Rattus norvegicus: one gene and its partners. The protein of the gene in region 1 purifies or fractionates together with the protein of each later gene. This does not show direct contact. Links are inferred from orthologs where the notes say so. Each region holds a gene or a part of one and is shown in the gene's direction. Other genes may lie near its edges.

What was found.
Region 2: the proteins of Nlrp3 (region 1) and Usp50 purify together in Homo sapiens (affinity purification with western blotting; 3 studies listed by BioGRID). This does not show direct contact. The link is inferred for Rattus norvegicus from reciprocal best matches to the Homo sapiens genes NLRP3 and USP50.
Region 3: the proteins of Nlrp3 (region 1) and Mavs purify together in Homo sapiens (affinity purification with western blotting; 4 studies listed by BioGRID and IntAct, with this or other methods). This does not show direct contact. The link is inferred for Rattus norvegicus from reciprocal best matches to the Homo sapiens genes NLRP3 and MAVS.

The regions. Positions count from the first base shown.
Region 1 is NC_086028.1:44,822,863-44,833,995, forward strand, and holds the start of Nlrp3 (NACHT, LRR and PYD domains-containing protein 3), read left to right. Parts: upstream 1-5,235; 5' UTR 5,236-5,665; coding exon 5,666-5,948; intron 5,949-10,029; coding exon 10,030-10,143; intron 10,144-11,110; coding exon 11,111-11,133. UniProt on the Homo sapiens protein: Sensor component of the NLRP3 inflammasome, which mediates inflammasome activation in response to defects in membrane integrity, leading to secretion of inflammatory cytokines IL1B and IL18 and pyroptosis.
Region 2 is NC_086021.1:134,483,024-134,494,037, reverse strand, and holds the start of Usp50 (inactive ubiquitin carboxyl-terminal hydrolase 50), read left to right. Parts: upstream 1-5,178; 5' UTR 5,179-5,420; coding exon 5,421-5,473; exon of another isoform or gene 5,474-5,580; coding exon of another isoform or gene 5,581-5,598; intron 5,599-7,953; exon of another isoform or gene 7,954-8,027; coding exon 8,028-8,210; intron 8,211-8,479; coding exon 8,480-8,675; intron 8,676-10,140; coding exon 10,141-10,350; intron 10,351-11,014. UniProt on the Homo sapiens protein: Deubiquitinating enzyme that removes conjugated ubiquitin from specific proteins to regulate different cellular processes. Regulates the inflammasome signaling pathway by deubiquitinating 'Lys-63'-linked polyubiquitination of the PYCARD/ASC adapter protein.
Region 3 is NC_086021.1:138,911,710-138,921,088, forward strand, and holds the end of Mavs (mitochondrial antiviral-signaling protein), read left to right. Parts: intron 1-350; coding exon 351-520; intron 521-2,442; coding exon 2,443-2,596; intron 2,597-4,647; coding exon 4,648-5,123; intron 5,124-5,858; coding exon 5,859-6,287; 3' UTR 6,288-7,416; downstream 7,417-9,379.

The DNA.
Region 1 (11,133 bases):
AATTTTGGAACCACATGCTGGCAAGGGAGGGGAGCAGGTGGTGCCCTTGCAGCCTGCTCTGGAAAGCAAAGGGTGTACAGCCATTTTCCAACTAGTCTGGTCATGCCTTAATCAGGGTTGTGTCGCAATAACAGAGTGACGGGCCTGAGCTTTCTTGATCCTAATACAAACAGCAGTGTGCAGGGAGCATGAGGAGGCCCATTTATACCCAGAAGGACGGCTGAGTCAGTGATATTCTATTCCTAATGCATTTAGAACCTCCATATTGGTTTCCCACCCCCCGATATACAGATTTATATTTTTAGGATCATGGGGTTGTTCCTTCTCCCCTAGCCAACGTTTATCGTCTTTTTTGGTAATATTTATTCTATCAGGCCTGAGCTAATAATGTCTCATTATACTTTTTGTTTGCTTGTCTGAGACAGAGATGTATACCTGAGGCTGGTCTGGAACTTACTGTGTAGCTTAGGATTTTTCTGTCTTAAGTTCCAGAATGTTAGGATTACAAAAAAGTGCTTCTAAGCTTGGCTTGGTTCCAAGGGAAAAGATTGATGATGATGATGATGATGATGATGATGATGATGGCAGTGGTGGTGGTGATGGTGATGATGGTGGTGGTAATGGTGATGATGGTGGTGGTAGTGGTGATGATGGTGGTGGTGATGGTGAGGATGGTGGTGGTGGTGGTGGTGGTAGTGGTGTGGTGATGATATGGTGGTGGTGGTGGTAGTGGTGGTGGTGATGATGATGGTGGTGGTGGTGAGGATGGTGGTGGTGGTGGTGGTGGTAGTGGTGTGGTGGTGATGATGATGGTGGTGGTGGTGGTGGTGGTGATGATGATGGTGGTGGTGGTGGTGGTGATGGTGATTAGTTTCTGTAGTATTAACCAACCAGGTAAGATGAGTCTACTGGTGTTATGGTGTTATAGGAAGTAAACAATCAGCTTCCAATTAGTTTTGAGCCCTGAACATAAAAGGGAATTCATATCTAGTATTATAAACATGGTCAAACTCCAGTTTCAGGGGTTCTGATGCCTTCTTCCCACCTCTCTGGGCACTAAGCACATGCCAGGTGCATTTATACACATGCAAGCAAAAACACTTATACACATAAAATAGATACATCTAAAAATGTTTTTTTAAAAAAGACTGCAGTATCCATTCCATACCCAGGAGACAGCATTTTATACCTCCCACTCCTTCGTCTCCTCTTACATTTCTTTCTGTCCCTACTGACAATGTTTCCCAAGCCATGAGTGAGTGAAATACATGTCCCATCTAGGGCTGAGCATACAACGGTCCCTTCTTTCCAAGTGTTTTCAGGCCAGGTGTGGTAGTGCATACCTGCAATCCTGGCCCTCACGAGGCAGAGGCAGGCAGATCTCTGTGAGTTTGAGGCCAACCTGGTCTACATAGCAAGTTTCAGGATAGCCAGTGCTACAAAGAGAGACTCTGTCAATAATAATAGTAATAGTAATAATAACAGTATATTAAAGAAAACTTTTCTATAGTAAATTTTATTGATGAACATTTTACAATCCTATAAATTATATTTGTTGGTTTGCTTGTTTGGAGGGGGTGGGGCATGCCACAGCACAAGTCAGATGACAACTTCTAGGAACTGCTTCTCTCTTTCAACCATGTGGTCATCAAGTTCACAGCAAGCTCCTTTACCTGCCGAGCCATCTCGCTGACCTTTCACCGACGCTTATCTCAACACTTTGGCCAGTTATGAGTCTCGGCAGTATTCACTCTATGTAGATAAGGCTGACTGACCTTTAGCTTTCCGGTGCTGGGGCTCTACGTGTGTGCTGCTAGATACCATTTTTATGTGGGACTGGGGCTCGAACGGGGGGCTTCATACATTCCAAGCAAGCACTCTATCTGCGCTCTGTCTATGACTTCTTGCCATTTTGATTTGCTATTACCGGAGGGATGGTGATGTTGGACACTGTTCACACCCCTGTGGGCTTTTGGCTTTCTTTTGAGTGGTGTTTGTTCATGTCCTTTACTATGGAGTCGAATGAGGGTCTTGCATATTTTTGCTATTAACTGCTTATCTAACCCGTGGTTTACAAATGTCTCCCTCAAGGTCGTTAACAGCCTCTCCACGCCACTCCTTGTGTCCTCCGAGCGTTTTAGATTGGATGGTCCTGGTAGTTTATTTTGCCTCTCGTTCCATTGCTTCTCGGGAGACAGAGTCAGCACTGCCTGTATTAACAGGCTTTCCCTGTCTTCTGGGTGTTCAGGGCTTCAGATCCGCTCAGACCTGTATCACTTTGAGTGGATTGAAACGTGGTGTGAGATCAGGCAGGGTCCAGTTTTATTCTTCACCATATAACTACGGTGCAGTCTTTTGGAGGCCAATCATTTATTACTTCTTACTTTTTGCAGTACTAGGGATGGAAACCAGGATCTTGGGCATGCTAGGAAGGCTCTACTATCTAGCTGTATCTCCCCACTTCCTCTTTATTTTGAGACAGGGTCCCACTCAGCTGCCTGGGATGGCCTTGAACTTGCAATTCCCCTCTTCAGCCCCCCAAGCAGCTGGTATTGTGGATTTGTACCACTGGGTCTGGCTGAAGAACATTTGTTGGCGAGATCAACCTTTCCTTTTTACCTTCTTGGTTGTCCTTGTCAAAAATCAGTTGCTCACGTAAACTTGGGTTTATTTTTGCACTTTCTACCCTTTCCTATTGATCTATGTACCTCTTTTTATAAAGGTGTGGATTTTTGTTACATGCAAAATATAGTTCAGTCAACTCAATTTTTAAGAAAAAGTTCTCGGGTGCAGATAGGTCTCCCAACCCCCTTGCCATCCTGAGTGCGACAGGTCTGCTTCTTTTCAGTTTTAGCATTGAATTCTTGTCACTTCTGTCCCTGTATCAGCAGAGTCCCTGAGATGTGGGTCTGCCCTTTCACCTGCCTCATTCAGGACACTGAGAGAGTACCTCTTGCTCAGAGTTTGCTAGAACTGTGCCCTTTCAGACAGTGGACTTGCAGTTACCAGGAAACTGCGGCAGGGGAAGCAGGTCTGTGTGGTCATCAGTTCCCTCCTTCTTCAGGGGTAAAGAAAACCAACCACTTTGGCCTTTTCCTGGGACACAGTCAGTTCTCTACCTCAACCTGACAAGTGAGTCCAAAAGTCATGGAGTAAGACTCCTACTTTTAAAAAGTAACAGGAGATGTCAAACACTTGGAGCTGCCCGCTGACCACCTCCATGAGAGGAGAAAGAAATTAGAATCTGGGGTTTCAGAGCCTGACCCTGTCTCAACTCTCCACATACCAGTTCTGCTCACCACTGCTTACTTCCCTCTCTCTGGAGTCCCAGCCCTGCTTTCAGAATCTGACCCTGTCTCAACTCTCCACATACCAGTTCTGCTCACCACTGCTTACTTCCCTCTCTCTGGAGTCCCAGCCCTGCTTTCAGAATCTGACCCTGTCTCAACTCTCCACATACTAGTTCTGCTCACCACTGCTTACTTCCCCCTCTCTGGGATCCAAGCCCTCACGGAGCTGCTCACTGCCTGTGCTGAACCCTGCGGTTTCACCTTCTCCCACTGTTTCTAAAGGCTTCTTCATGGAACCTGGGGAATTCTGGTCTGCAGCCTATGCTTACACTCAGAATTCTATTGCTTGGGTTTGGAAAATCCATCCAGATGAGTAACTGTTAGTCCGCCTTTGACAGTGATGCAAGCTTGCTCACGTCTTGAAGCCACATCCTTCCTACTTCCAGTGTCACAGTGACCCCTATAAATTCATCTGGTTTCTCCTTTATCTGTACCCAAAGCTGCTGTCTGGGTGAGTACAGTTTCATGGAGCAGTGTGGGTAAAATGTCCAGGGAAGGAATGGGAGGCTATTTTTTTTAAAGATTTCTTTATTTATTAATATCTAAGTACAGTGTAGCTGTCTTCAGACACACCAGAAGAGGGCATCAGATCCCGTTACAGATAGTTGTGAGCCACCATGTGGTTGCTAGGAGTTGAACTAAGGGCCTCTAGAAGAGCAGTCAGTGCTTTTTTTTTTTTTTTTTTCTTTTTTTTTGGAGCTGGGGACCAAACCCAGGGCCTTGCGCTTGCTAGGCAAGTGCTCTACCACTGAGCTAAATCCCCAGCCCCCAGTCAGTGCTCTTAACCACAGAACCATCTCTCCAGCCCGGGAGGCTATTTTTAATGGCATGATTTATCTTAGACAAGGGAGTTCCTTTAGACTAGTCTAACTTTAAAGTATTTCAGGTATGTTCTGTTTGCTGTTACGTGGTTCGTGCATGTTGGGGAAGTTTGTGTGCATGCACACAGAGAAGAAGCAATCATAGCTTCCTAGGACTTCAGTGGTATCCACTCAGGGCAACAGAGGGTGGAAGGCCAGTGAGGGAGTATGCTGACAGCCCAGGGTGCAGCTAATGTAAAGACCACAGCTATGGTGGTAGCAGAGATCAGAGGGCAGGAAACTTGGGGTGAAGGCCAGGAGCTGAGGGCTCAACTTCTAGGAGGATCCATGGAGCTGAGGCAACAGTCAGCAAGAACCCTGGAGATGACAGAAAGAAAGATGTGAGGTGCTGCAGGAAACTGGAGAGGTGGTGCAAGAACGGACACAAAACAGGGATGGTGAGCTTGAGGCACCTCGAATGTCACCTTGCCGTCACATGAATATCATTTCGGAGGCTGTCACTATCTTCCAGACCCTTTCCTCTACCAGCTTCAGTCTGAGAAGGCCACTTAGTGTCTCTACTACTCAGCAGAAGGAACCAACACACCTCAGTTGGGAAATTAGGTGAGAAAAAGAAAAAGAATCAGGGCAGCAGCATCTAGTCAGGGGCTCTGACTGAATGTGAATCGTGATGCTTGTTATAGGTATGAGATGCTCAAGAACTGTTAAAGGGATACTCACAATCAGTCTTCCTCTTTCTGTGCACTCAATTCCACCCGATCGGATTCTGTTCATCGGTGGGAAATGGAGGGGCATTGAAAGATTGTCTGTCTGTCTGGGCTGAGCATTGAAAGACTGTGAGTGTTTGTTGCTCTGCCATTACTATAGCTGATTCTGCTGGCTCCCTCCTTCCTTTGTTCCTTCCCGTCAGATGAAAATAGAAGCAAGAAACCAGAGCCTTCCATTCAAAGAAATCGGGAAGCAATCTCTTCTGCTTTCTCAGTGACTGAAGGAGGAAGCTGAGGTTGAGAAACTGTGAAGGCCATGTCCAGGTCCCAGACTCATCACCATGGGTTCTGGTCGTACACGGGTCCCGGTGACCTTGTGTGTGCTTGTTCTCTGCATGCCGTATCTGGTTGTGTTAATGCCTTTCTTCTTTTTAATTTCTACAGAGGAACTTTGCTTCCATGGCTCAGGACATGATCCTGGATCAAGCTAAGAGAACTTTCTAGGAAGCCTTTAGCTTGCTCAGCTCTTCCTAAGTCAGAGATGACGATTCACAGAATCAAGTCGTAGTTTTTTTCCTTTGAGTTTTTCGAGTTAAGAAACTTTAAAAACTGTGCCAGTCTATGGGGTACCCTGAGATGTTTCAATATTAGCATCTAGTTTCCTGGATTTCTGCTAACGCCGTTTTCCGGAAGTGGAGACTTTTGACTCTTTTTTTACTCACACGGAGTTTTCATTCCTGCTCTGCCAGCGTGGATCTAAGCCCAAAGACCCTCGCAAGAGGTGCTGATGAAGATGATGAGTGTTCGCTGCAAGCTGGCCCAGTATCTAGAGGACCTGGAAGATGTGGACCTCAAGAAATTTAAAATGCATTTGGAAGATTACCCACCCGAGAAAGGCTGTGTTCCGATCCCCAGGGGCCAGATGGAGAAGGCAGATCACTTGGATCTAGCCACACTCATGATTGACTTCAATGGGGAGGAGAAGGCGTGGGGCATGGCTGTGTGGATCTTTGCAGCGATCAACAGGCGAGACCTCTGGGAAAAAGCTAAGAAGGACCAGCCAGAGTGGAGTGAGTGAGAAGGTTTTTTTTTTTTTTCCTTACAGTAAAGTCCACCGGACACAAAAGGTAGAATTTTAGTAATTGGACGTGTGTAGCTTAGTAACAAGGAAACATATAGTTATGCAACCAACTTCTCATCTTGCACAACTGAAGCTCCCAACACATTAGATGTTAAGTCCCCATTACCTAACCCCATCTCCTAGCAACCACCACTCTGCTTTCTGTCCCTGTGAACATTACCACTATGGGTCTCTCACACAGGTAGAATGATGAAGTGTTTGTCTCTTGTGGCTGGCTTGTTTCACTTAGCGTAATGTCTTCAGATTTCCTTCTTTAAAAAGATTAACAAATTTAATCTTCATTCACATCTTCATTTTACATCGTGAGCATCTCATCTGTGCATATCCGTTTGCTATGATCTGTGCATATCCATTTGCTATGATCTGTGCATATCCATTTGCTGCCATGGAAACTGTGTTTATTCAACATCTTCCTTTCTTTGCTTTTGAGTTAGAGTCTCAAGGATCCCAGGCTGGCTCCAAACTCAATCCTCCTTCCTCTGCCTTCTAACTGCTGGGAGATGATGTCCTTTACTATACAGAAGTTAGCATGTTTGAAATGTTAATTTATTATCATCGGTTTTCCTTCTCCCCTGGTGAGGTATGAGAGGGTGGGAGGGAGCAGTGTGCTTTTTCTAATTCTGTAAAAGCTCCGGTCTTTGCTTTACTCCTGGGGGCCTGTTGTGGTTGGTATCACACTCTCCTTCCCCAACTGGCTCAGAGCAGATGCTTGTCTGCTCTAAACCAGGGAAACAGCAGAAAGGATTCAGAATAACCTGAGAAGTCCCAGGCATCCTCTGCCGAGTAGGAGCAGGGCGGAAGGAAGTAATCACAGGAGATAAGGATGCCTGGGGTGGTGTTATTCAGTAGTAGAATGCCTCCTTGTTATGTACAGAGACCTGGGGTCCATCCCTACAGCACTGGGCCAGTTGGAGTTGAGGAGGTGTGTGGCAAGGCAATGGTGACCCAGGAGAAAGAGATGGAGCTATGAGGCAATCCAATTGCCTGTCATTGTTCCTGTACCGAGAATGGGTACAAGAGGAATGAAGAGTTAATCTCAGCAATAGAAGCCCTGACTGAGCAATTTTAGATCTTTTTCAAATTAAAACGTTAAACCTTTCAGCTATTTATTTTGTGTGCTTGTATGTGTGTGCTAATGTGTGTGCACATGTGGAGGTCAGAGGACAATTTGTAGGGTTTGGTTCTTTTTACCGTGTAGGTCTTGGGGATTAAGCTGTTACTCCCTGAACTGGCTCTTTCTGGCTCTATACTAGGTAGTTGGTTTTGTTTGTTTGTTTTTTGTAAGATTTATTTTGGACTGGATGTAGTAGTACAGGCCTTTATTTCCAGTACTTGAGAGGCAGAAGCAGGTGGATTTATTCAAGTTCGAGGCCAGCCTGGTCTACAGAGCAAGTTCCAGGACAATCAGGACTATGTAATAAAGAGATCAGGTCTCAAAGAAAATCCAAAAAGCAAAACCCAGAAAGCAACACAAATTTTACTTTATATGTAGGAGCGTTCTCCTGCATGTCTATGTGTGCACCATGTATTGGCAACTGAAGAGGCTAGAAGAGGGTATCGTATTCCCTGGAACTGGAGCCACCATGTGGGTGCTGGGAACTGAATCCAGGTCCTCTGGAAGAGCAACAAGTGCTCTTAATCACTGAGCCACCGCTCCAGGAGCCCTGTACAAGGTGGCTTCAGTGGGTTTTGTTTTTCTTTCAATAACCCCATGACATAGTTCCTAGTACTGTTGGTGCTTTCAGGTGAAGGACGAGAGACAGGGCGTGGTTCTAATTACCCAAGGCTCTCCCGTCAGGGCCAGCCAGAGTAAGAGCAAAAGGCCAGGCGAGACTATAAAAGTATAGCCATGTGATGTTGGCTTTTATATCTAGATTTTAGGCATAAAAATTGTCATCAATATTTGATGTTCTTTTGGGGGTTGAAGTGAGATATTATGGGAGAATTGGGCAGAGGTTTGGGGTTGCATGAGTGTTTAGATTTTTGTTTTGTGATTCCATTACCAGTGGTGCTCTCTCCTCTCCTCTCCTCTCCTCTCCTCTCCTCTCCTCTCCTCTCCTCTCCTCTCCCCTCCCCTCTTCTCCCATCCCCTCCCCTCCCCTCCTCTCCCCTCCCCTCCCCTCTCTTCTTCCTCCTCTTTTGTCCATCCTTCTTTAGATCTCACATATCCCAGGCTGGCCTCAAGCTCACTGAGTGGCTGAGGATGACCTTGAACTCCTGATCCTCCTGCCTTCACTTCCTGGGTGCTAAGTATGTGTACTAACACCCCACCTGGCTTATATGCATGCTAGGAAGATATTCTACATCCCTGACATTATCTTCCAGAATAATTCTACATCCACAGGAGTATGTCCGTGTCTTTGATCTGCTTTGTGTGCTTTGTGTGGGAACTTTTGTTATATTCCTAAATTTCCCCTAGGAGGAAAGTCTATACCATTGGGATTCATAGCTCTTGGCTGTAGGTTCCCATTGGCATCACCTTGGCCTTTTCCATGGGTAATAATGCCTAAGCCTCAGCACAGAGTAGAAAGAACTCCTTTGAGTAGGGTATTACCCAGCATTTTCAGACCTCTCCATGTGAGTTCAGTAAGCCATGGTTCTGAACTACTTAACTGACTGACAGTGTTCACTTGTGAAGACCTGGAAATCTAGACAGGACAGCACAGGAAATGACCCTCATGGGTTTCATACGTCCAGCTGAGCTCAGGGGAGGGTGAACCTGTCAGGAGAGCATTGTGACTCTTGCACATAGACCCTAAGTTAAGGTGCCAGAGACAGCCAGGGACAGGTGACAACGGCAAAGGAAACACCGTTTGATCTCATCTGTTCTCTAACGGATTTCTGGGCCTGGGAAAGACATTCTGAGCTTGGGGACGCAGTTCTGTCTAATGATTGACAGCTTCCCTTTGAAAGCGAGGTGAGCGGGGTTGGGGATTTAGCTCAGTGGTAGAGCCCTTGCCTAGGAAGCGCAAGGCCCTGGGTTCGGTCCCCAGCTCCAAAAAAAAGAACAAAAAAAAAAAAAAAAAAAAAAAAAGAAAGCGAGGTGAGCAGAATCATGCCTACTAGGCTTTCAATGCCATAGCTATCAAGATCTGCAGCTCTTGAGCCATGCTTACTCCCCTATCCCCCTACCTTTTTTTCTTTTTTTTTCCTCTTTGAGATGTGACCTCATGTAGCCCAGGCTGGCTTTGAACTCATTGCGTAGCTGAGGATGACTCTGAGGTACTGATTTTCCTGCCTCCATCTCCCAAGTGCTGAGCTTAGAGGGATCTGTTCTCATGCCTGGCTAAGCCACATTTAATTCAGAAGGAATAGGGAGTAGGGGGGCCTTTGACCTACCCCAAAGACTAGACTCCATTCTATCCTTTGTGTTAGGACATTTTATGTATTTTGTGTTCCTGTAAAATTGTAAAAAAGCTTTCTTTTACTCCACACTAGATCCAGCACCTCAGTGCCCCAAGATATTTGGTAGACATCTTCATCTCAGTCAGCAAAGCGTCTTACCCGCTCTGCTCCATCCCATATCACACTGCTGATGGCTACTCTCTGAGCCTGGCAGCAATCTCTCTACCCATCTAGTTTTCAAAGCAGGTTGCCACCATGCCAGAAATATACATCCCAATTCCGTGGCAGCCTAGTGTCTTTGGCCACCACATACTCTCTTAAACTTAAATCACCACAAGAAAGAACACACAACACAATAACCTCTGATCCAATTGATAAGGTATAATTGCCCACCTAAACATACAAAGCCCTGTACACATCCATCCCTTAAGAATATTCATAACAACCTGTAAATGTGCAGAGAGGAATCTCAACATCTGCCTCCATGTTCTCTCCGCTGCTTCTCCTGACTCCTCCAGTCTCCTCCTCTCTCTAAATCTTTTCTCCCGCCCATCCTTCCTTCTCATCCAATGACAGGCCTCGTTCTATCCTGTACCTGCCTTCACCTGTATGACATCCTACAACTTTGTGTTTGTTTTTTTTTTGTTGTTGTTGTTGTTGTTTAGATGATGCATGCACGTCTAATCTCTCCATGGTGTGCCAGGAAGACAGCCTTGAAGAGGAGTGGATAGGTTTGCTGGGATATCTCTCCCGCATCTCGATTTGTAAAAAAAAGAAAGGTATGCATCAACCTGCTGTTCTCAACTTTGTTTTGAGACTTGGGACAGGGGACTAAGGAACTAGAAAGCAGAGACACTTGGCCACTCTACAGGGAAGGAGGCCTGCCTCAGGAACTCCACCTTCACTGAAGAAGCAGATGCACATTTTCATGCCTTCCTTCCTAAAGTCCTGGGGAAAGGGTTTACTGCAAGCAGATATGGGCTTCAGACTAAAGGTATAAAGGCTTGAATAACATTTTCTGGCTGGAGGCTGCAGTGCTGACTTTCTGCCCTATCGTGAGTGGGAAGTGATTGACACCAGAATTTTGGGGACCTGATAACACTTGAGCAATAGGGACAAATTACACCTCCTATTTTTCTTGTATTTTTGGTTGTGAGCCTAGCCTTTAACAAACTAAGGCCCCGTCCATCTGAACCACCTATTTTTCTAAGCCAGTCCTTCCTTTCTCTAGAGCATAAGCCACTGGCTTTCCTTCTAGGCACGTGGCCATGCCTCTGTACAAATTCAGAAAACAGTAATAGATATAATGAGAGATCCCTGGAGAGCACATTGCCACCGGGGCTTATGGACTGCAAGCACATAGGCTTCAAACCAATCACAGAATGGTTGGCTGTTGCCATAACAGTTGCACCACCGCTGCATCAAGGACTACACCTCGCTGTGTACAGTTGAACGTTTGGCGAGCACGTTGCTCTCTATCTAGTTGGCAGTCAGCACTCTGCATTTTGTCATTGTTCTCGAATCCTCATAATTCTTTTTTTTTTTTTTTGGTTCTTTTTTTCGGAGCTGGGGACCGAACCCAGGTAAGCGCTTCCTAGGTAAGCGCTCTACCACTGAGCTAAATCCCCAGCCCCAATCATAATTCTTAATGTTCCTCCTGTAACAGCACAGGCCTGCTGACCGCTTATTGTTGGGGAATAGATGTGTGGGCTCTTCCTGGATTCTGCCTTTCTGTCTCTGCTGCAGATTACTGTAAGATATACAGAAGG
Region 2 (11,014 bases), on another chromosome or scaffold:
TTGTTATAGACATGTGTGAGCAGCCATGTGAGTGCTGAGAACAGAACCTCTGTACTGCAGAAAAATAGCCAGTGCTCTCAACCACCGAGTCATCTCTCCAACCCTGATTTATTTTTAATATTTACATGTGTAGAAAATGTGTATGTAGAACTCATAGGTCAGACTAAGGCACGGCCCCAGGAGCCATCTACCTTGTTTTTTTAAAACACGGTCTGTGAGCTCACCAAGTAGACTAGATTGCTATCCCAGGGATCTTAATAATGTATCTGCTTCCTCAACACAGAGATTACATGCACTTGTCATCACACCAGATCCTCATAATTGTCGGACAAGTACGTCACCAACTTAAGCCATCTCCCAGAACTCATCATCTCTTAACAATCGAAGGCATTTTATGGTTAACCTTTAAAAGTAAAACTAGGAAAAAGATTTGGTAGAGCTTTTGACTGGCATGCAGGCTGTCCAAAAAGACAATTCATGCAACTATAAAAGTATCCTTGTAAGAAATCTCAATTGGGGGGCTGGAGAAATGGCTCAGCGGTTAAGAGCTCCGACTGCTCTTCCAGAGGTCCTGAGTTCAATTCCCAGTAACCACATGGTGGCTCACAACCATCTGTAATGAGATCTGGTGTGTATGAAGACAGCTACAGTGTACTTGTATACATTAAATAAATAAATCTTTAAAAAAAAAAAAGAAATCTCAATTGGGCTGGAGCAATGGCTCAGTGGTTAAGGGCACTGACTGCTGTTTTAGAGGATCTATCTGGTTTGATAGCCAGCACCGACATGGTGGCTCACACCCACCTGTAACTCCAGACCCAGGGGATCCTCAGGTGGTGCACACCCAGACAAAATGCTGGCACACAAACTCTGTGTGCATGTGCGTGTGTGTGTGTGTGTGTGTGTGTGTGTGTGTGTGTGTGTGTGTTTAAAAGAGAGCACCGGTTGCTCTTCCAAAGGATCCAGGGTTGGTTCACAGCCACCTATTACTCCAGTCATAGCATATTGGACACCCTGTTTTGGCTTTTGAGGACACCAAGAACATAGATGGTGCACATACATGCATGCCAGCAAAACACTTATACATTAGAAAAATAATAATAGAATATGCAAGAGTTGAAAAGCACAGAGCTTACCTCCAAACTGTCAAAGACGCATCAATTCTAATGTGAATATTTTAAACCTGTAATACCAGCACTCTGGAGGCAGAGGCAGAAGGATCATGAGTTCAAGGCCAGCCTGGGCTGCATACTGAGACCTTGTCTTAAGAAGGGAGGGAAGAGCTGGGGAGATGTCTTAGCAAGTAAGAGTGCTTACTGAGCAAATGGTTGCCTACTCACCGAAACTACAGTGCTGAGGGGTACAGAGATGGCGACTGAAGGTGGTAATGTTGAGGAGAGCTAAGATACGAGGCAACTAAATTGAATTATCAGGAAAACCAGAGACTCTGGGAAGCAAGTTGATGTTTGTAAGTTGACTGGCAACTGCAGGGAGCCAGGAAAACATACACAAGGCAGGTGCTTTCACCCTTGCTTCCAATGCAGCTAAATGTAATAGAAGTGTAAGTGAGGACAGCTTTTAACAAGAACCCCCCAGAGGACACCATCCTGTAAACAAAGGATAATCAGAAGGGACTGTGGTTACATCTCCAGTAACTGTGGCAGTATGCTATGCTATACCACATGAGAATTGAGAGAGCTGATGAACACTCACAGAACCCATCTAGGTCAGAGCGGCAATATTTGCAAGGTTGGTGGAGCCGCACTGCCAGACCAGGTTAACAGTCGGCAAACGTGTCAAGCTCAACAAAGCAAGTCCGAGATCACAGGGCATTTGAGAGAGACCACTCCTTATCTGAGTGGGCCAGAAGAACATGCACAGAGTATATAAACCTTCAATTGCCCTACTCCTGATGTGTGCAGAGAATCAACCAATTGTAATAGGATTCTCAGTCTGTTTGCTTGTTTGTTTGTTTGTTTGTTTGTTTGTTTGTTTTTTGAGACAGGGTTTCTCTGTAGCCCTGGCTGTACTGGGATTTGCACTGTAGACCAGGCCGGCCTTGAACTTAGAGATCCACCTGTCTCTGTCTCCCAAATGCTTTAGTTAAAGACATGCCACTAGGCTCAACTGGTGTTCTCAGTCTTTGTCCAGTTTCGACTCTAGCTCCTATAAAAAGCCCCTAAACAATGAACTCAACGTTTATTTCTCTCTTGGGACCGCCCCACCACCACTGCTCTTCCCTAGTTTCTTACTTTGATTTCTCCCAAGAAAGATTGTTTTCACCTTAGGCTTTTATTCATCACAGTTGTGAGAGATTTCAGAGCCACAGCCCTGCGTTAACTTTCACTGGCTGCTTAGACTCTGGAAACCCAAGTCTCTGGCTCACAGATATCTGGATGGAGAAAGGTCTCAATGATCTCAAAATTGCATCATATTGAAAATTATTGGGCTGGAGAGATGGCTCAGTGGCTAAGAGCACTGTCTGTTCTTCCAGAGGTCCCAAGTTCAAATCCCAGCAACCACGTGGTGGCTCACAACCATCTATAATGAGATCTGATGCCCTCTTCTGGTGTGTCCCTGTGTACTTATATATAATAATAAATAATTTTCTTTAAAAAGACTTTTAAAAATTATTTTAAGTATGGGTAAACCTCACTCTCCTCAATTTCACAGTGTGGTCTCTTACTAGAGAGCATTTCTCCTTGGTCCTTGTCTTCTTGAAGGAAATAATTCAGCTATGATGCAGACAGTTGAAGCATAAATTTATCATCCCAGGGAGACTGAGGTGGGTGGGCCGGCTGAACAGGGAGGGTCAGCTCACTGGGGACGTTTACAAGGTTTTATCACTACCTGTGACATGGGTTTCATATTCATAGCGGTGAAGTGAACCACTTACCTCCAAAGTCATTGCATTTGATCTCTCCTTTTATTAAAACATTTTCTGTGATATTCGAGAAAAGCCTACAGGAGGAGGGCTCTCAGCCCCTAATGCGAAGGACAAAGGACTGCGCAGACTGCAAAGGGCGGTACAGACTTGGAATTGTGACTCAGTCCTGCTTGTACCCAGGCGACCAGGAAGTGCCTGGTGCGTTAATCCCGATCCAGCAGGAAGAACGGAAGTTGCAACCTCAAGGATGTTTAAGCACAGGAGTATTCTCAACATAGCAGCTTCTGTTGTTATAGCACACGGAACCCCTTGCCTCCCAGCCTCCCCAGGAGAGGTGAAGTAGATTAGCATCATGAAATTCCACTATATAACACCCAGAGCTAAAAAACCAAGGCGTTTGGAATAATATGGTCGCCCTCAGTACTCAACTATAGCTTAACGTGAATATGTGAGAAAGAATGTAGACTACGCTTTCATATTGTCAAAATATTTGGGGTTGGGGATTTAGCTCAGAGGTAGAGCGCTTGTCTAACAACCGCAAGGCCCTGGGTTCGGTCCCCAGCTCTGAAAAATAGAAAAATAGAAAAGAAAAATATTTAAAGTACGTGGAGGTAGATTTTAAAAGTGCTGCACAACTTCAAGATAACTAGAAAGAAACGTGTAAGAGGGGCAGATTCAATCAAGCCACCAACGAGAGAAGGAAAAATTAAGAAGAAGCCCCCTTAGTTTCCTGTGAGTTGTGTGAGGTGAGGGCACACTGTGGGCAGTGGTGACCTGATGTGCAACTGAGGCATGAATGTCGCGTGCTCGGCAGTGGGAACACAGCTGGCATTGAGCATTGATGAGACAGGAGCTATACTAGGGCTGGCAGAATCTAGGTGTCTCCCAGTTAGAGTTAGTCTGAATGGGAAGGGAAAATAAATCTAGAAAGGTTGTGATTATTGGTGTGAATTCTGATTCACATACATGCAACACATACATGCACTCACACAGAGGAAACCATTATGGATCTAATGCATATTTCTTAGTCATTGTGGGGGCTTGTTTGGTATAGTATATTAGTGTGTGTGTGTGTGTGTGTGTGTGTGTGTGTGGTGCAGTGTGTGGCTTGCAACTAAAAGGCCTAGAAAGGACACTCTCCAGCCTGTTGAGTGCCTGTGGGCGTGTGTGCTCCTGGAGTCCAGCTTTCATGAGCTGTCACTCATACTGGCGTCTTCAGTGACACCGCTGAATCCTATTTGCTCCTGATCTCCCATCTATATGCTATAACTGACCCCATTGAAGTTCCTTGGTTCACCAAGTTGGATTTTGATGGTATCCTTCCTTTGGCCTGTCTTCAAATTCCCTCCCTGGGATAAACTTAGGGCTCTCTGCCTGCTTCCTGCTGGTGCCTGGCTGTCCCAGTAGATCTGCTCAGAGGGCAGGCCAGCAGCAACTCGGCACTCCAGAGGCACAGCCCCAGCACAGGTGCTTTCCCAGGTCACAGCCACATGCTTCCTCTAGTTAGAGCTGAGGATGCCGTCCTTTTCCTCTAGTGGAATAGTCTAAGCTCAGAGAATCACGTGTGCCCCTTGTAGATCCTATATTAAGCCCGTGTGATGGTTTGGCTATGCCTGGCCCAGGGAGTGGCACTATTAGGAGGTACAGCCTTGCTGGAGTAGTGGTGACCTTGTTGGAGGAAGTGTGTCACCATGGGGGTGGGCAATGATACCCTCCTCCTAACCACGTGGGAGCCAGTCTTCTAGTGTCCTTCAGATGAAGATGTGGAACTCTCAACATCTCCTAGCATCTCCTGCACCATTGTCTGCCAGGTTACTCCCTTGTTCCCTCCCGCCTTGATGATGATGGACCGAACCTCTGAAACTGTAAGCCAGCCCCAATTAAATGTTGTCCTTATAAGAGTTGCCTTGGTCATGGTGTGACCACGTTCACGACTGCATGTGAACAGCCACAGCAGGAAAACCCTAAGACAGCCTGTGTGCTACAGGTAACGTGTTCATAGCCAGCCGTGTCTCCATCCCACAAGTAAACACTTCTGGTGACCTCACTGTAGTGTGCACTGACATGAGAAAATCTCACTACCTCCTCCATAGGGGGAGAGATGTTCTGCTAGGGTTCGTGGGAGCAGTGTTGCCACACGATGTCCCCTAATCTAGGGGATGAACATCTATGTGTGCTCATGTGTGAGAAACCGAGCAAAGGAGGGAGAGGAGAAAAGTGGGCAATTCATTCTCAAGAAGTTGACCTTTCGGAAGCATTTCAAACAAACCAGTAATGGTATCCCTTGACAACACGTTAGAACCTTGGTATGAAGGGTGACAATTGTGATGCAGGGGAGGACCCAAGAGGAACCAGGCTTGAGTTCAGTGAAGTCAGAAAAGTAGGGAAAAGTGGAAAGTAGAGAAAAAGGGGGAAGGCGTTCAAACTGTTCAAAAACAAAAACAAGCCAGGGGAACAGTTTTGGAGAAATGAAGTTAAAAGGCTCACAGTTAGCTTGTGAGTAGAAGTGAAAGCCCGATGTGCTCCCAGGAACATGGCGTCTCATCGGCCGTTCCCTGCAGATGACTTCGGTGCCTACTACATCCTGTGAGCCTCAAACCCTGTGCCTTTATAGATAACCTTAACAGTGGGGGGCCTTACCCAGAGGAGCGTGGCGCCTGTTGCATTTGGGAGGGCTCTGCCAGATTTGGCCCATGAAGGACCCACAAGAGGTAACTTGTACTTCCTAACCATCAGGGGGCCTCCCTGGCATCACTGAGTGAAGTAAACGACTGGCCCAGTGAGTGCTTCTTAGATGGGTGTAAATGTGAGCAGAGGCACAGAGGGAGGCTGCTGTGTCATGGGGCCTGCATTTCAGATTCAGGCCGTGGGAAGACAGGTCACAAAGACAAAGGTGACCAGCGGCCCTACTGAAATCCGTCAGATAATAAAAGGGAGCTGCACGGATCAAGGAGGCCTCCTGGAGCCTGCAGTGTTTCTCATCTCTGCGTGTTGGGCAGATGCTCCCACCCCATCTCCTGCCATTAAGGCACTAAATAAGTCATTGAATTCTTCTTTAAAAAGATTTTATTTTACATATATGAATGTTTTGCTGGCATGTGCCCTTGGAGGCCAGAAGAGGACATTAGATCCCCTGCAACTGGAGTTACAAATAGTTGTGAGCTGCCATGTGGTTGCTGGGAAGTGAGGCAGAATCTTCTGAAAGGACAGAAAGCGCTCTTAACTGCTGAGCCATCTCTTCAGCCCCCGCCGTGAGTGTGTGTGTGTGTGTGTGTGTGTGTGTGTGTGTACATGGGTATCTATATATATGTGTGTCTGTATATATAAATGTATATATGTATATACATGTACAATACACACATATTATACATGTATATAGATGATTACACACATGTATATGTGTGTATGCATACTATATATAAAGATGTATATATGTGCATATACATTATATGTGTGTATATACATGTGTATATATATACATATACACATAGATATATACACACATGTGTATGTGCATATATGTATATATGTACATATATATATGTGTGTGTGTATAAATATACACTTTTTTTGACACAGGGTTTCTCTATATAGCCTTAGCTATTTATTTTCTTCTAGAACCCACTCTGTACCCCAGGCTAGCCTCAGAGTCTGAGATTCTCCCTGCCACTACCTCTTGAGTGCTCAGATCAAAGGCAGTGCCATCAACCCCCTATTGATGGGGGTTGGGGATTTAGCTCAGTGGTAGAGCGCTTGCCTAGAAAGCGCAAGGCCCTGGGTTCGGTCCCCAGCTCCGAAAAAAAGAACCAAAAAAAAAAAAAAAAGATATCATTGACTATGTGATCTAAGCTAAGTGCCTTGCGTGGTACCTGCATGGTCCTCACAGCAACCCTGCCAGGAAGGTAGTAGTGTTCCCTGTTTTGCTGGGGGATCAGGTGCTCGAGACCACATCTGTGTCTCACACACATTAAGCACATACTCAGTTTCTGTTATAAATGAGCAGGCATAAGAAACCAGATCATATTTATACAACTAGTTATTGGCACAGCAATGATTTGAGTCTGTTTTTTCTCTTTTCCTCTATGTATGTACGTGCATGCCTTACATATCTGTGTATGCATACATACATATCTGTGCCCTTAATGTATGAATGTATATGTTCCTGCCATGTGTATATATCATGTGGTACCTAGAGAGTTATATTCATTCTCACTGTATGGTCTAATTCCATATAGCTTAATAGACAAGAAAATATCTCCGTTTCTTCTGCATCACTGTGTACTTCCCCTTGTAATACTACTGTGGGCCAATGACTTACTCACAGAAGCCGGTTAGTCTATCTGTAAATGGGATTTTAGAAGGACTGTTTCTACCCAGGAGAGCTGTGGCAGACATTTAATGGGGAATATGTCTTCAGTACTTACCATAGTCAGACTAAGTAAAAATGTCTGTGGATGCTACTGTTAAGACAGGAAAGGCTTTGGTTTTTAGCAGTTGCGTTTGCATGTTTAGCCAAGCCACCCTAAGACCTGGAAGGCTGGTCTACAATCCTTCTGCCCTTGGTAGAGAGTGAGTTTGAGAGCAAAACCCATTAAGAATCTTTCCTAGCCATTCATAGAGGTACATACTTTCTTATTTTTTAAAGAGCTTTCTTTTTTGTTATTAAAGATTGATTATTATATAAAAGCACACTGTAGCTGTCTTCAGACATATCAGAAGAAGGCATCAGATCTCATTACAGATGCTTGTGAGTCACCATGTGACTGCTGGGATTTGAACTCAGGACCTTAACCACTCAACCATCTCCCCAGCCCAGGGTACATACCTTTAATCCCAGCACTCAGGATGCAGAAGCAGGGGCAATCTCTGTGAGTTCAAGCCCCTCATGGTCAACATAGCCAGTACAGAGTAAGCCAGGGATATAAGGGAAGGCTCTACTACAAAACAAAATGAACAAAACCCTTCTTGATTGGCTGATGCTCTAACTTCAGTCACTGAGGTGAGAAAGAAGAGAATTGTCAGTTCGGGCCTTGCCTCCCAGCCACAAAAGAACGCTTTTATTTCAGAGGTTGCCAGGGCCTGACTGGTACTAGCACTCACTCTTCCCTGGAAACACTCTCCTTCCATGTGGCCCACACAGTGCGGAGTGTGCAGACTATGACTCCCTTCCGGAGTCTGAGACCCAGCCACACTTCCAGGGCGTGACGGGACTGCGGAACCTGGGCAACACCTGCTACATGAACGCCATCTTGCAGTGCCTCTGCAGCACATCTCCACTGGTGGAGTACTTCCTGTCCGGAAAGTACATCACGGCTCTTCAGAAGTAAGAGGAGTTCTTCCCCGAGTCTGCCCCACCCCAGCTCCCCCAGGTGAGGGTGAGGAAAGGACCCGCTGGAGTCCTGGTGAAGGGCTACAAGCCCTGGCACCATAGGTTCCCAGAGAACACATGGAGGGTGAGGACTGCAGGGTAGATGGGGCTCTGGTGCAGTGTTGTGGACTGATCCCGTGTCCCCCACCCCCACCCCCAACCCAGACTGGGTCTTTTCATTAAATCAGCGGGGGACGTTTGCCCTTTGCCCCTCTTCTTCTCAGGGACTGCAGCGAGGTCACCACGGCCTTTGCCTACCTGATGACAGACATGTGGCTTGGCGACTCAGACTGTGTCTCCCCAGAGATATTTCTGTCGGCTGTTGGCAGCCTTTACCCAGCCTTTCTGAAAAAGACACAGCAAGATGCGCAGGAGTTCCTGATTTACGTCCTCAACGAGCTTCATGAAGCTTTGAAAAAGGTAAGCGTATACATACATGTATTCAGTCTGCATGGCCTGCCCTGCAGTGAGTAGGACATGGCTCTGGTGCTGGGGGTCCTGAGGAAAACATCCAGGTTAGGATATTGTTTATTGGTTGGTTTGATTTTTTTACTTAAATTTAAAAAAAAGTATTGTATGTGCATGTATGTCATGTGTCACTTGCTTGCTGTGTTCCCTTGGAGCCAGAAGAGGGGGTCGGGTGCCCTGGAACTAGAGTCAATTGCCAGCCACCATCCTTGTGGGTGCTGGGAATTGAACCCAGGTCCTCTGGAAAAGCAGCCAGTGTTTGTTTGTTTGTTTGTTTTATCAAAACAGGGTTTCTCTGTATAGACCTGACTGTCCTGGAACTCACTTTGTAGATCAGGCTGGCCTCCAACTCAGAGATCCCCCTGCCTCTACTCCCAAGTGCTGGGATTAAGGTGTGAGCCACCACTGCCCAGTGCAAACCAATGCTCTTAATCACTAAACCATCTGTCCAGATCCTAAAATTATTTTTTTATATTTACTTTTACTTTTTTCTGAAACTGAGTTTTACTGTGGAGCCCAGTCTTTTTTTTTTTTTTTTTGGGTTCTTTTTTTCGGAGCTGGGGACCGAACCCAGGGCCTTGAGCTTCCTAGGTAAGCGCTCTACCACTGAGCTAAATCCCCAGCCCCTGTGGAGCCCAGTCTTATGACTCAGAATCTTTTTGCCTCAGCCCTGCTCCATGTGCAGATATTATAGATGTCTGAAACACTCACATCCCAAGCCTTCTTTGACATGTGGCAGATGCCCAGGAGCCCAAAAGTACTCCAGATTTACTCAGACATTCAGAGGATAATAGCCCAAATGGTTCAACGAAATCAAACAGCTCAAAAAACACAGTAGGAACCTTCCAAGCCAACCGGAAGGCAAAACCCAGGTCCAACTGACCAGGAGAAATTTACCTGTGTTCAAAACAGTGTCTAAACACTCTTTGTCCTAATTACAAAGTAGCCCATGCTGGCTGAAGCTTGAGATCACAGTCCTCTCAGGGAAAGCAGTCTAGGGGCTGTGGGGGTCCTGTTCAACCTTCCCACCCAAGGCCAACCTGCTTCCAAGTGCCTGTGTAGCTTGCCAATCTGTAACCAGCGCTTTCTAAGGGTCAACGCCTGAGCCTTTAACCAGCTAGGTTCAACCCCTGCCTTCTTCACGGGGACAGTGAGAGGCAGTAACACTGGGAAGATACAGGAGATCTATCCTGCTTGCCTACACTGGGAAGAACCAATAAAGAGAGGTTCAGTGATCCCCAAGTCAACTTTGAGGTACTGACACGAGGTTTAGATTTAAAAAGGTGGCTAGCAGTATATGTAACTAAGAGTCCTGTCCAAGGCGGGTGCTACCCATCACTGAGCCATCTTTGTATTGGCACCTATCTTTCTTGCAAGACAGTGCGGTTTCATAAGAGGGATTTGTCCTTTTATGCAGCACTGCCGAGGAAGAGCGAGTGAGAAAAGAACAGCCCAAAACTGCTGCAGGAAAGTGCCAGCCCATGAGACCTCAATCATCACCCGGCTGTTTGAAGGGCAGCTCAGTTACAGCATCACGTGTTTAAAGTGTGAGACCTGCACCTACAAGAACGAAGTTTTCACCATCCTTTCCCTCCCCATCCCATCGGAATACGAATGCTCCCTCCAGGTAGGGAGAGCTCAGCTTCTGAACACGTTTTCCTGTTTTGTTTTTTTACGATGTATGTATGTATGTATGTATGTATGTATGTATGTATGTATGTATTATGTATGTATTATGTATGTATTTAATGTACGCTGTAGCTGTCTTCAGACACACCAGGAGAGGGTATTGGATCCCATTACAGATGGTTGACAGCCACCATGTGGTTGCTGGGAATTGAACTCAGGGCCTCTGGAAGAGCAGTCAGTGCTCTTTTCTGTGTTTTTCAGGCTACCCTGGGACACTGGGCTCAAGCAATCCTGCCTGAGTCTCTCAGGGACTGGGATTACAGTTACAGCTGTAATTTCCTACAATTTTAAGTAGGAGAGGGCTGTTTTATGCCCTAACTCTATAAAGAAAGGTAGCCCATGCATGAACAGCATCTTTAAAAAGCAACCTGTGGTTATAGCTACTGTGAATTTAATTGTATTTCTAAATGTACTCAAGGCAGAGGCCCACTTAAAATCATGGATATGGGAGAGGTTTATTCAGTCTCTGGAGATGGGCAGTGTGTGATTTCTTATGATGATATCATGCCTCCACACAACACATTCTACGGTTTAAGACTAACACTAGTTATAATATTCTTTTTTAAAAGGATTTCTTTTTATTACACAGCATATGCTTGTTT
Region 3 (9,379 bases), on another chromosome or scaffold:
CAAGAAAGAAATGGCTATGGTAGAGTCAGAGATGGCCATGGCAGGGGTCATTTGGGGATGACAGCTGTGAGGAAAAGGTCTTGGGACAGCAGAGAGTGAGCACTGAAAAGTCTGGCTGTGAAAGGCTGTGCCCCTCCTCACTCATTTTCCTTGCACCCTTTCCTGTCTTCCCCAGTTCTTCTTTCCCTCCTGTTCCCTCCCCAGTGATGGTTATCATGTCTAATAAATCCATCCCACATTGGGTCATGGAGTTACTGAAGGGAGACTAGATGCCCCAAAGCATCCAGGCTTCTTCTATTACCAAGTTACCTCTGATTCTTTCTGGAGATCACTCTGTCTTTGTACCTTAGGGGCCTCACTCCACTCCCTAGACCCATTGCAGTCACCAAGAATTCCTACCACGGTTTCCGAACCTTCTGCATTTGCAGCAGGCCACACCATCCCTGACAGTGGCTTCCAAGATAAACCAGGTTACCCTAAGCCTGTCCAGGACACCCAGCCACCAAAGTCCCCAGTAGAGGTAAGTCCTCATAATCTGTTTTAAGCTGCCTGCTTTTGTGTGCCTGTCTGCTCACTTCTGCCCACCCAGCCTTCCAGAGCCCCTTTCTTTTTTTTTTTTTTTTTTTTATTTTTTTTTTTTGTTGTTGTTGTTCTTTTTTTTTTTTTTTTTTTTTTTTTTTCGGAGCTGGGGACCGAACCCAGGGCCTTGCGCTTCCTAGGCAAGCGCTCTACCACTGAGCTAAATCCCCAACCCCCCAGAGCCCCTTTCTACCTCCTGAAAATCATGCCTCATTTCTGCTAAGAATGCTGGGGTTCCCTAACTAGCTACCTAACTGCTGGCTAGACCTGTGGCCCCTTAGTGTGCTGTTGAGGTCTTTGCAATGGTCATGTGATATGTTGAGCTGGGTAAAAAAGACTAGAGGGTAACCAGATTTGTATGTGAGAGAGGTGATATGAGGGCTCAAGAAGGGTGGGTAGTGACAGAGCTAATTATCAACAGTAAAATCAGGTATCAGGGGAAGATAACTAGTTCCACCGGGATGAAGTGAGTTAACAATGGGGTATAGAAGAAACCCTAGACCTAGACTATGGGTCTGAAGCCATAGGGTCTGTGCAGACTGCTGAAGAAAGGACAGTGGTTACAGACACATGGGTAGGGAACTTCAGCAGTGCCTGGTTTTTTGTTTTGTTTTGTTTTTTTAATGCACTTGAAGTCATCCTGGGGACTGGGCTGGAGAGATGGCTCAGTGGTTAAGAGCACTGACTGCTCTTCCAGAAGTCCTAAGTTCAATTCCCAGCAACCACATGGTGGCTCACAACCGTCTGTAATGGGTTTCAATGCCCTCTTCTGGTGTGTCTGAAGACAGCTACAGTGTACTCATATATAATAAATAAATAAATCTTTAGAAAACACAGTTGTCCTGGGAGGCTGGGAATAGAGCTTTCAGTTGCTGGGGTGCTTGTCTGGCATACACACGTGCCTGAGGTCAGTCTCCAGCTCCATATAAATTGGGCATGATGACACACACCTATACGCCTGCCACTCAGGAGAGAGAGGCAGGCGAATCAGAAGTTCATAGTCATCCTTAGTAAGTTCAAGGCTAGGGTGAGATACGTAAGGTCCTATCTCAAAACAAAACAAAAACAGCAACAACAAAACCAAATAGGTGGGGCTGGAGAGATGGCTCAGCGGTTAAGAGCACTGACTGTTCTTCCAGAGGTTCTGAGTTCAAATCCTAGCAACCACATGGTGGCTCACAACCATCTGTAATGAGGTCTGATGCCCTCTTCTGGTGTGTCTGAAGACAGCTACAGTGTACTTATATATAATAAATAAACAAATCTTTTAAAAAAAAAAAAACCAAATAGGTGGGCTGGAGAGATGGCTCAGTGGTTAAGAGCGCTGACTGCTCTTCCAAAGGTCCTGAGTTCAAATCCCAGCAACCACATGGTGGCTCACAACCATCTGTAGTAAGATCTGATGCCCTCTGGTGTGTCTGAAGACAGCTACAGTGTACTTATATGAAATAAATAAATTAATCTTAAAAAAAAAAAAGGGCTGGAGAGATGGCTCAGAGGTTAAGAGCACTGACTGCTCTTCCAGAGGTCCTGAGTTCAAATCCCAGCAACCACATGGTGGCTCACAACCATCTGTAATGAGATCTGATGCCCTCTTCTGGTGTGTCTGAAGACAGCTACAGTGTACTTATATATAATAAATAAATAAATCTTAAAAAAAAAAAAACCAAATAGGTACTAGGGATGGAGACTTACATTAGGCAAGTATAATCGATGAGCTTCAGCCTCATATGTGAAGGCTTCCTGTAGCCTGAAGCCAAGCAAAGGTTCCGAGGAGCTTGTGCTCTTGAGCCCCATAAATATATGCTGCCCTTTTTCAGCCCCAGGAGAAGCAATGGCTTTATGTTATTTCCTCTATTTCAGAATTCGGAGGAACCCCCACAGGCCAACTTTGGGGCCATTCCAAGGATGTCGGGTGACTCTTTGATATCCTCACCTAACCCACCGGCCCTCAGCCCTCAGCCCTCCAGAGAGCATCCCGAGCAAGAACCCGAACTGGGGGGCCCCTCCACAGCAAGTATGTATAGAGTGTGGTATGAGAGGGTCTCCTGGACCGCTCACATGAAGGTTAGGGTTACAGTTACCACTTGGCCTTCCTTAGATAGGAGGCAGGGTAGAAATAAAAGTGTGTGTGTGTGTGTGTGTGTGTGTGTGTGTGCTGTGTGCATACCTGTGTGTGTAGTAGTAGCAGCAGCAGCAGCAGCTTAAAATGCAGTCATTCATTAGCACATGGCTCAGCTGGGTAGGTCTTCTGATCTTGCTGATTTTGTGTCGGGTGTTCCCTGACATATACATAATGTTCTACTACATCCATTGGCTGGTACTTCCTCATTCTCTCTTCCTCTAGCACAAAAACCCAACTCACAGCATCTGGGTAAGGCTCTGGGTAAATAAAAGAGAGGCAGAGCTCTGAGCTTAGGCTCAGTAATAAGGCAAGAGGTCTTATTACTCCTGCTCTGTTCTGTGGTCAAAACAAATGATAAGGCCAGCCCAGATTCTGAGATTTTTTTTTTTACTAGATTCTGGTCAAATCACATTGGAGAGTGTGATTTTTGCCCTGTGGGTGTATAGTTTTTGTACCTTGCTGCATGTGGGAGAGAGCTAGGGCTATTTCTGCACTCAGGTAGAAGGTAGTGATTGCCCAGGACCTGAAGACGGGAAGGACACCTTATGGGTAGCTAATGAGGGAGCTCTTCACAAGGGGATGTCTGGTTCCCAGCTGTGGTTTGAATGAAGTGGCTCCCATAGGCTTCTACATCTGGATACTTGGTTCCCAGTTGGTGGAGCTGTTTAGAAAGGACTATGGGGTGTAGTCTTGTCAAAGAGGTGGGCTTGGAGGTTTCAAAAGCTCATGACATTCCCAGATAGTGTGCCTTTGCGCTCTCTCTCTCTCTCTCTCTCTCTCTCTCTCTCTCTCTCTCTCTCTCCCCCCCCCACCCCCTTCCAAGCCCATCCCCGCCTCATGCTTGTGGGTAAGATGGAAGGTCTCAGCTACTGCTCCAGTGCCTGCCTCCTTGCTGCCATGCTCCCTACTATGACGGTCATGGACTCTAACCCTCTGGAACGATGAGCCCCAAATTAAGTGATTTCTTATATAAGTTGTCTTGGTCACAGCAGTAGAAAAGTAACCAAGACAACCAGAAAAATCACTAAAGTGGTTCAACCCCAGATAAGTCAGCCAGGGTTCAGAACCTGGTGTCCCCCTCAGGACTAGAGTTTGTCCACCCCGACTTCCAGGCTAGAGCGGCTCACCTCTACTTCCCAAATTGAGTTCTGTTTGCTCTGTTTGTTACTGGTGCCAGGTGAGCCCTCAGTGCCCTAGGATTGCCATGTGAACAGTTAAAGGTTAGAGGAAATTGTCCCAGTGCCCCCAACTGCTTTCACAAATGGCACTTGGTTGAAGTATGTCTGTAAGCACGGGCTCCGGGAGATTTTCTGTCAGGTTTAGGGAGAGATGTCGGACATCACTTCTGACCTTTGTCAGTGATGGCAAATGTATCCTCAGAGTTCTGGGAAGAGTCTGTCGTCATCAGCTCTATGCACTGTAACTTCCTGCTACTTCTGTTTCCCCAAATCAAGCTCCCTTTCTGGGACTACTAGGTCCCTATCCTTGGGGACATATGCCTGTGGGTCAGTTGACTGGTGTTAGCGGTTCTATTGAGCCATCCTGCCACTGCTTGCCCTGATTCAGGATTGCTCCTGCTAGAAGGTAGTGAGGGACAGTAGTAAGAGGAATGTCTCAGGACATCCACGCTCATGCCCCAGGACAAGGTAGAAGGGGCTGAAGTGAGAGAAGAGGCAAGTGCTTAGGGTCGATGGAAAAGGAATAATTTATACCAAGGTTTAAGCTCTTAGGTGTGGATGAAGGTAGAGCCCATTTTACTTTGATGATAGGACAGACTAGGGTTACAAGTTAAGGGCTGAGGGGCAAGAGTCTTTTCCATGGGAGGAGATTGGGAGGCAAGATGTGGAAGGGACCATGTGATCAAGGACATGGGGACCCTTCTCTAGCCCTTAAGTTAAAACCATCCTTTGGGTTTGTTTCTGCTTTTCTCTCCCCACCTGTAGATGTTGACTCTGTTCCCATAGCAACCTATGGACCTGTGTCTCCAACTGTTTCCTTCCAGCCCCTTCCACGTATTGCCCCGAGGACAAACCTCTCGCCTGGGGTCACAGTATCAGCTCTATCTGCCAAGACCACTTTGTCCTCCTCTTCTACTGGATCAGCTTTTGCAAAGGGAGCAGGTGACCAGGCCAAGGCTGCCACCTGTGTCAGCACTAAAGAGGGAGTACCTACCAATTCTGTGACTACCAGCTCAGTGCCTTCCATCAAACCAGTACCAGTAAATACCATGTCTTCCAAGTTGCCCATCAGTACAAAGTCCACTGCTGCAACGCCCTCTACTGTGCCCACTAATATAGCGCCATCAAAATTACCCATCAACTCAGTATATACTGGCATAGTGCCATCCAAAGTGACTGCTAGTGTGGCCAAAGCAAGTGCCAGCACAATGCCACCTGAGAGGAACAACAAGCAAGCCAAGGTGAGTCCTTGTTCCTCCTAATAGTGGCTCAGGCTACTTTGCCAAGACAGCTGGTCCTTGCCCTCAGACCCTTTTACTTCCTGTGCTGTCCCTGGTCTGTTTCTTCAAGGTGGTGGGACAGATGGGAAGCAGCCAAACCCAGCCCTTGCACCTTGTTTTCCAAGAGGAATGAGAGTCATGAGCCCGCCTAAGCTCGGACTAAGTAGGGTGGGGCATGGGACTTCCCCCACTGGCATGTCTGTTAACTCATTTGGAGCTTGAAGCCCCAGTGAAGGTCAGCAGTACCATTTTGTAGCTGGAGTAGTGGGGACTAAACGTGATGGCTCATGTGTCCTAGTGCCCTGTTCATTCGACAGTGTTCTCAAGCATCCTGCTTGTAGTAGCTTCTCCAACCTAGTGACCCCTATAGCCATTTTCCCCACGACCATACAACTGTCTACCTAAGGGAACCAAGTTTGTAAACCTCAGGATCTTGTGCCTGCCCTGTGGCTCTCAGGCCCAGGTAGTACAAGATGGTTCACATGCCAGCAAGGGCTCCCTCTTAGTGGAGCTCACAGCAGTTCCGTGAGTGGGAGAGGGCTGCCCTGGAGGGGTACTGCAGCATCTTGGTCACCTACTCAGCTGTGTCTTATCCCCAAGAGAGGGTAATTTCGGCTATTGTGGGATACTAGTTCAAGCCCTTGCCACACCCTGGGTTATCTCCTGTCACCTGAACCCCTCTTCTTATGTTTGCAGGAGACCCTGGAGGCTCCAGCAACCGTAGTCACCACTGGAAGCAGCCTGACCAGACCAGATATCAGTTCCAGGAGCTTGCACTCTGGGCCAGAGTTAAGCAAGCCAGGGGTGCTGGTGTCCCAGGTGGACAACGAGCCATTCTCAGCCTGCTCTATGGACCTTGCCATCAGCCCTAGCACCTCCTTGGGCTCAGAACCCAACCATGGTCCAGAGGAGAATGAGTATTCATCCTTTCGAATCCAGGTGGATAAAAGTCCCAGTGTTGATCTGTTAGGAAGCCCTGAGCCACTAGCCACCCAGCAGTCCCCAGAAGAGGAAGAGCCTTGTGCCAGTTCAGTGTCCTGGGCTAAGTGGCTGGGGGCCACCAGTGCACTCTTGGCTGCATTCCTGGCAGTGATGCTCTACCGTAGCAGGCACCTGGCCCAGTGAAGCCTCAGCTGTATGCCACACTCACTTGCTCAGTCCTGCCAAGCATGCCCTCTAGGCTTGGGGTGGTAGATATGGCGAGGTCCACTGAGTTATCCAGGTACAGGTGCTACCTGTACTGAGGCGCCATCACTATGTGGTGGGGGAAGAGACACTGCTTCTATCCTGGTTCATGTCATCTTCTGGTCTTCAGCTTTTGGGGGCCCTGTATCCCTTCCATTGCTTCTGACCTGCCCACAGGGCAGGGTAAGATTGCATGCTATGTGCTCCTAAGGAGGTATCCCCACCAGACTCATCCCTATTGGCCCAAGCCTGAAGATGAGGAGGCATTGCACTGTTGACAGTGCCCCTCCTCTCACCCAGGTCTCCTGAAACACAAGCGTAGAATAGTGATGAGTGGTCCCGTAGCATCCAATGCCTTCCACCAGCAGCCTGGCTGAGGCCTCGGCAGAGTGCCTGGGAGCAGCAGAGCAGCTGGTCTCTTGGGAGCTTTGGGTGCTCTGCCCCTTTGGTCCCTCTCCCCAGCCAGACAGCCCTAAGGGTGGGCCTGGAGGTTCTCTGTGGACTCCAAGAAAGCCAGAAGCAGCTCCCAGGCCTGAGAAAGCCCCTGGGAGCCTTGCTCCAGCCTCCTTATCCCAGCTCTTCACTTCTCCCCTCCTGGTCTCCATTCTCTTTGACCTCCTACACTGGATGATGAGATACCTAGTGGGCAGAGCTCAGGCTGGGCTTGGATCAGTTCCACCCTTTCTCTGCCTTTAGCAGATGTTTAGCTTCTCTAGTCTTCCTCCCAGTGTGGACAGTGGGTAGCACTTCCTTTTACTGGGCTCCTCTGAGTTTGAAGGATAGAGATATTTGCCTAGTGCCTATCCCCGAGGGTGTGAGCACAAGTTCTTGCCGTCCTGCCCAGGCTGGTAGAGCTAAGGTGAGAGCATGAGAGACAGAGTGCACAGTGGTAATAGCACAGTCTTTGAGAGAGCAGCCTTCGCCTCCATCGTGCTTTTGTCTCCTCCCTGGTCAGGTGTAGACCTTACCTCTGTGCCTCACTTTTCTCACCTGTGAGATGGGGTGAATATGCATATATATGCTAATATATTCTAGTTTTATTGGGATTAATTAAAAGAGTTTATCTGTACAAATCTTGTGTGTTCCAAATTTCTTAAAGGTTGGATACATGTTATCACCACCCCACCCTAGACTGTTTCTCTGTGTAGTCCTGGCTGTCCTAGAATTCACTCTGTAGACCAGGCTGGCCACAAACTCAGAGATCCACCTGTTTGTTTCAAGTGCTAGGATTAAGGGCATGGGCCACCACCATCTGACACATCATCACTTTTAAAGAAAAGGTACCTGGTGAGAGATAGGTCTTAGCACATTCTTCCCTTCTCGGTGAGAGATAGGTCTTAGCACATTCTTCCCTTCTCAGTGGGCAGGAAGTCTAGTTATTCCTATAGCAGAAATACAGTTAGGCTTAGGCTGGCTGTGCTCATGCCTTTAATCAGCACTCAGGAGGCAGAGGCAGGCAGATCTCTGAGTGAGTTCAAGACCAGCCTGGTCTACACAGCTCCAGGCCAGCCAGTCTCCAGACAGTGAAATACAATGATGTATATTGAGGCTATCCTCACGGGCTTCCTCAGGGTGCCCTTTGCTGGACAGGGGATAAGCGTGTAGCCACCTCTATCTCTGGGCCCTATTGTGGACAATTTCTCTATCAGGGGTTGCTATTGCAATCTTCCCTACATGCCCTAATTACCTATACTTAACTTCAAGGCTCACTTCAACCTGTGCCATGAATCTAGGTGTAACCTGTCCCCAAGTTGTCTACACAACTTCTATCACCTTTGTTTCTAACAACCCTGGACTTTGTACCCTCTCCCAGAGCCATGCTGGCCATGCTGGTGAAGAGTTGTGCATGGACTAGTTTTAGTGTTACTATTCTAGTGTAGCTTTGAAAGACTAATCTCAGTAATACAGTATGTAGCCCTACAGAGGTTACCCAGATGGCGAGAGTTCAAGCACTGGTCACTAGGCATCTCTTAGGTCAAGAATGTGTGGGAAGTATCTATCAAAGGCCTTCCCTGCACTTTGCAAACTTTGGTGACCAGGCCAGCATTCAATGACACCTTTGTCTCAGCTAGACGCTTTGATGCCACCTTCAGGAAGAGGGGGGGCTTTGGTCGTGTCAGGTCCCAGGAGTCCAATGTCTGTGGGTTGCTTTCAGCCGCAGTGGGGTTCACAGCTGTAGGAGGGAGAGTTGGAGCAGGTCTGGACAAAGTGAACCAGAACCCAGGGGATGGAAGGAGCATGTCTACCCACAGAAGGCATCTAGGTACACATACCTGCGGACTTGAGGAAACAAGATTTTCCTTTAAGATGATCACTGTTGGCTGGAGGAACCCTCTGCCCACCTTTCTCTGGTGAAGAATTCCCAGAAGCCCAAGAATTCTGTTCTATCCCTGGCAAATCCCAGTGGGCCCCGCTGTGATTGGATTTGGTACAGTGCAGCTCCTTCACTTCCTTTCCCTTGTTAGATGCCCTCATTTATGGGACTCTGTGTCAGAGATGAAAGAGACATGGGTACACTCCATTACATCAGGGAGCTGTGTCTTATCATGACACCTCAGGCCTGGCAACCTTTTCTAGCAGGGCAGAAACTCCCATGCAGCAAGATTCAAATAGCATGACTCATTAGATCTCCTAGGAATAAAATCACGTCGATCCTAAGGTCCATAGTGTCCATAGATGTCTATTATAGAGTTGAGCGCTGACACTCTCCCCTCACCCCCCCGCCTCTGCCAAAGGAGAATCTGTTGGCTGGGACAACATGTGAAATGAGATATTTTTTACACCAAAACATTGCTGTCCAATATGTCAAGATCTATCATCTGCTCTAATAGTAAAGTAAGACTCTGTAATTAGTACAGTCTCAGGGATGACATAACCACATGATTATAACCATTGTGTATGTGCCCAAAGTCAGAACCCTCAGGCCGGGTGTGATGGGGTAGAGGGTATGGATCTTTAATTTCAGTCCTTAAGAACTCCCTTGATTTGGCAGGCATTGAATATTTATTAAAGGCCATGTTCAAGGGTGCACC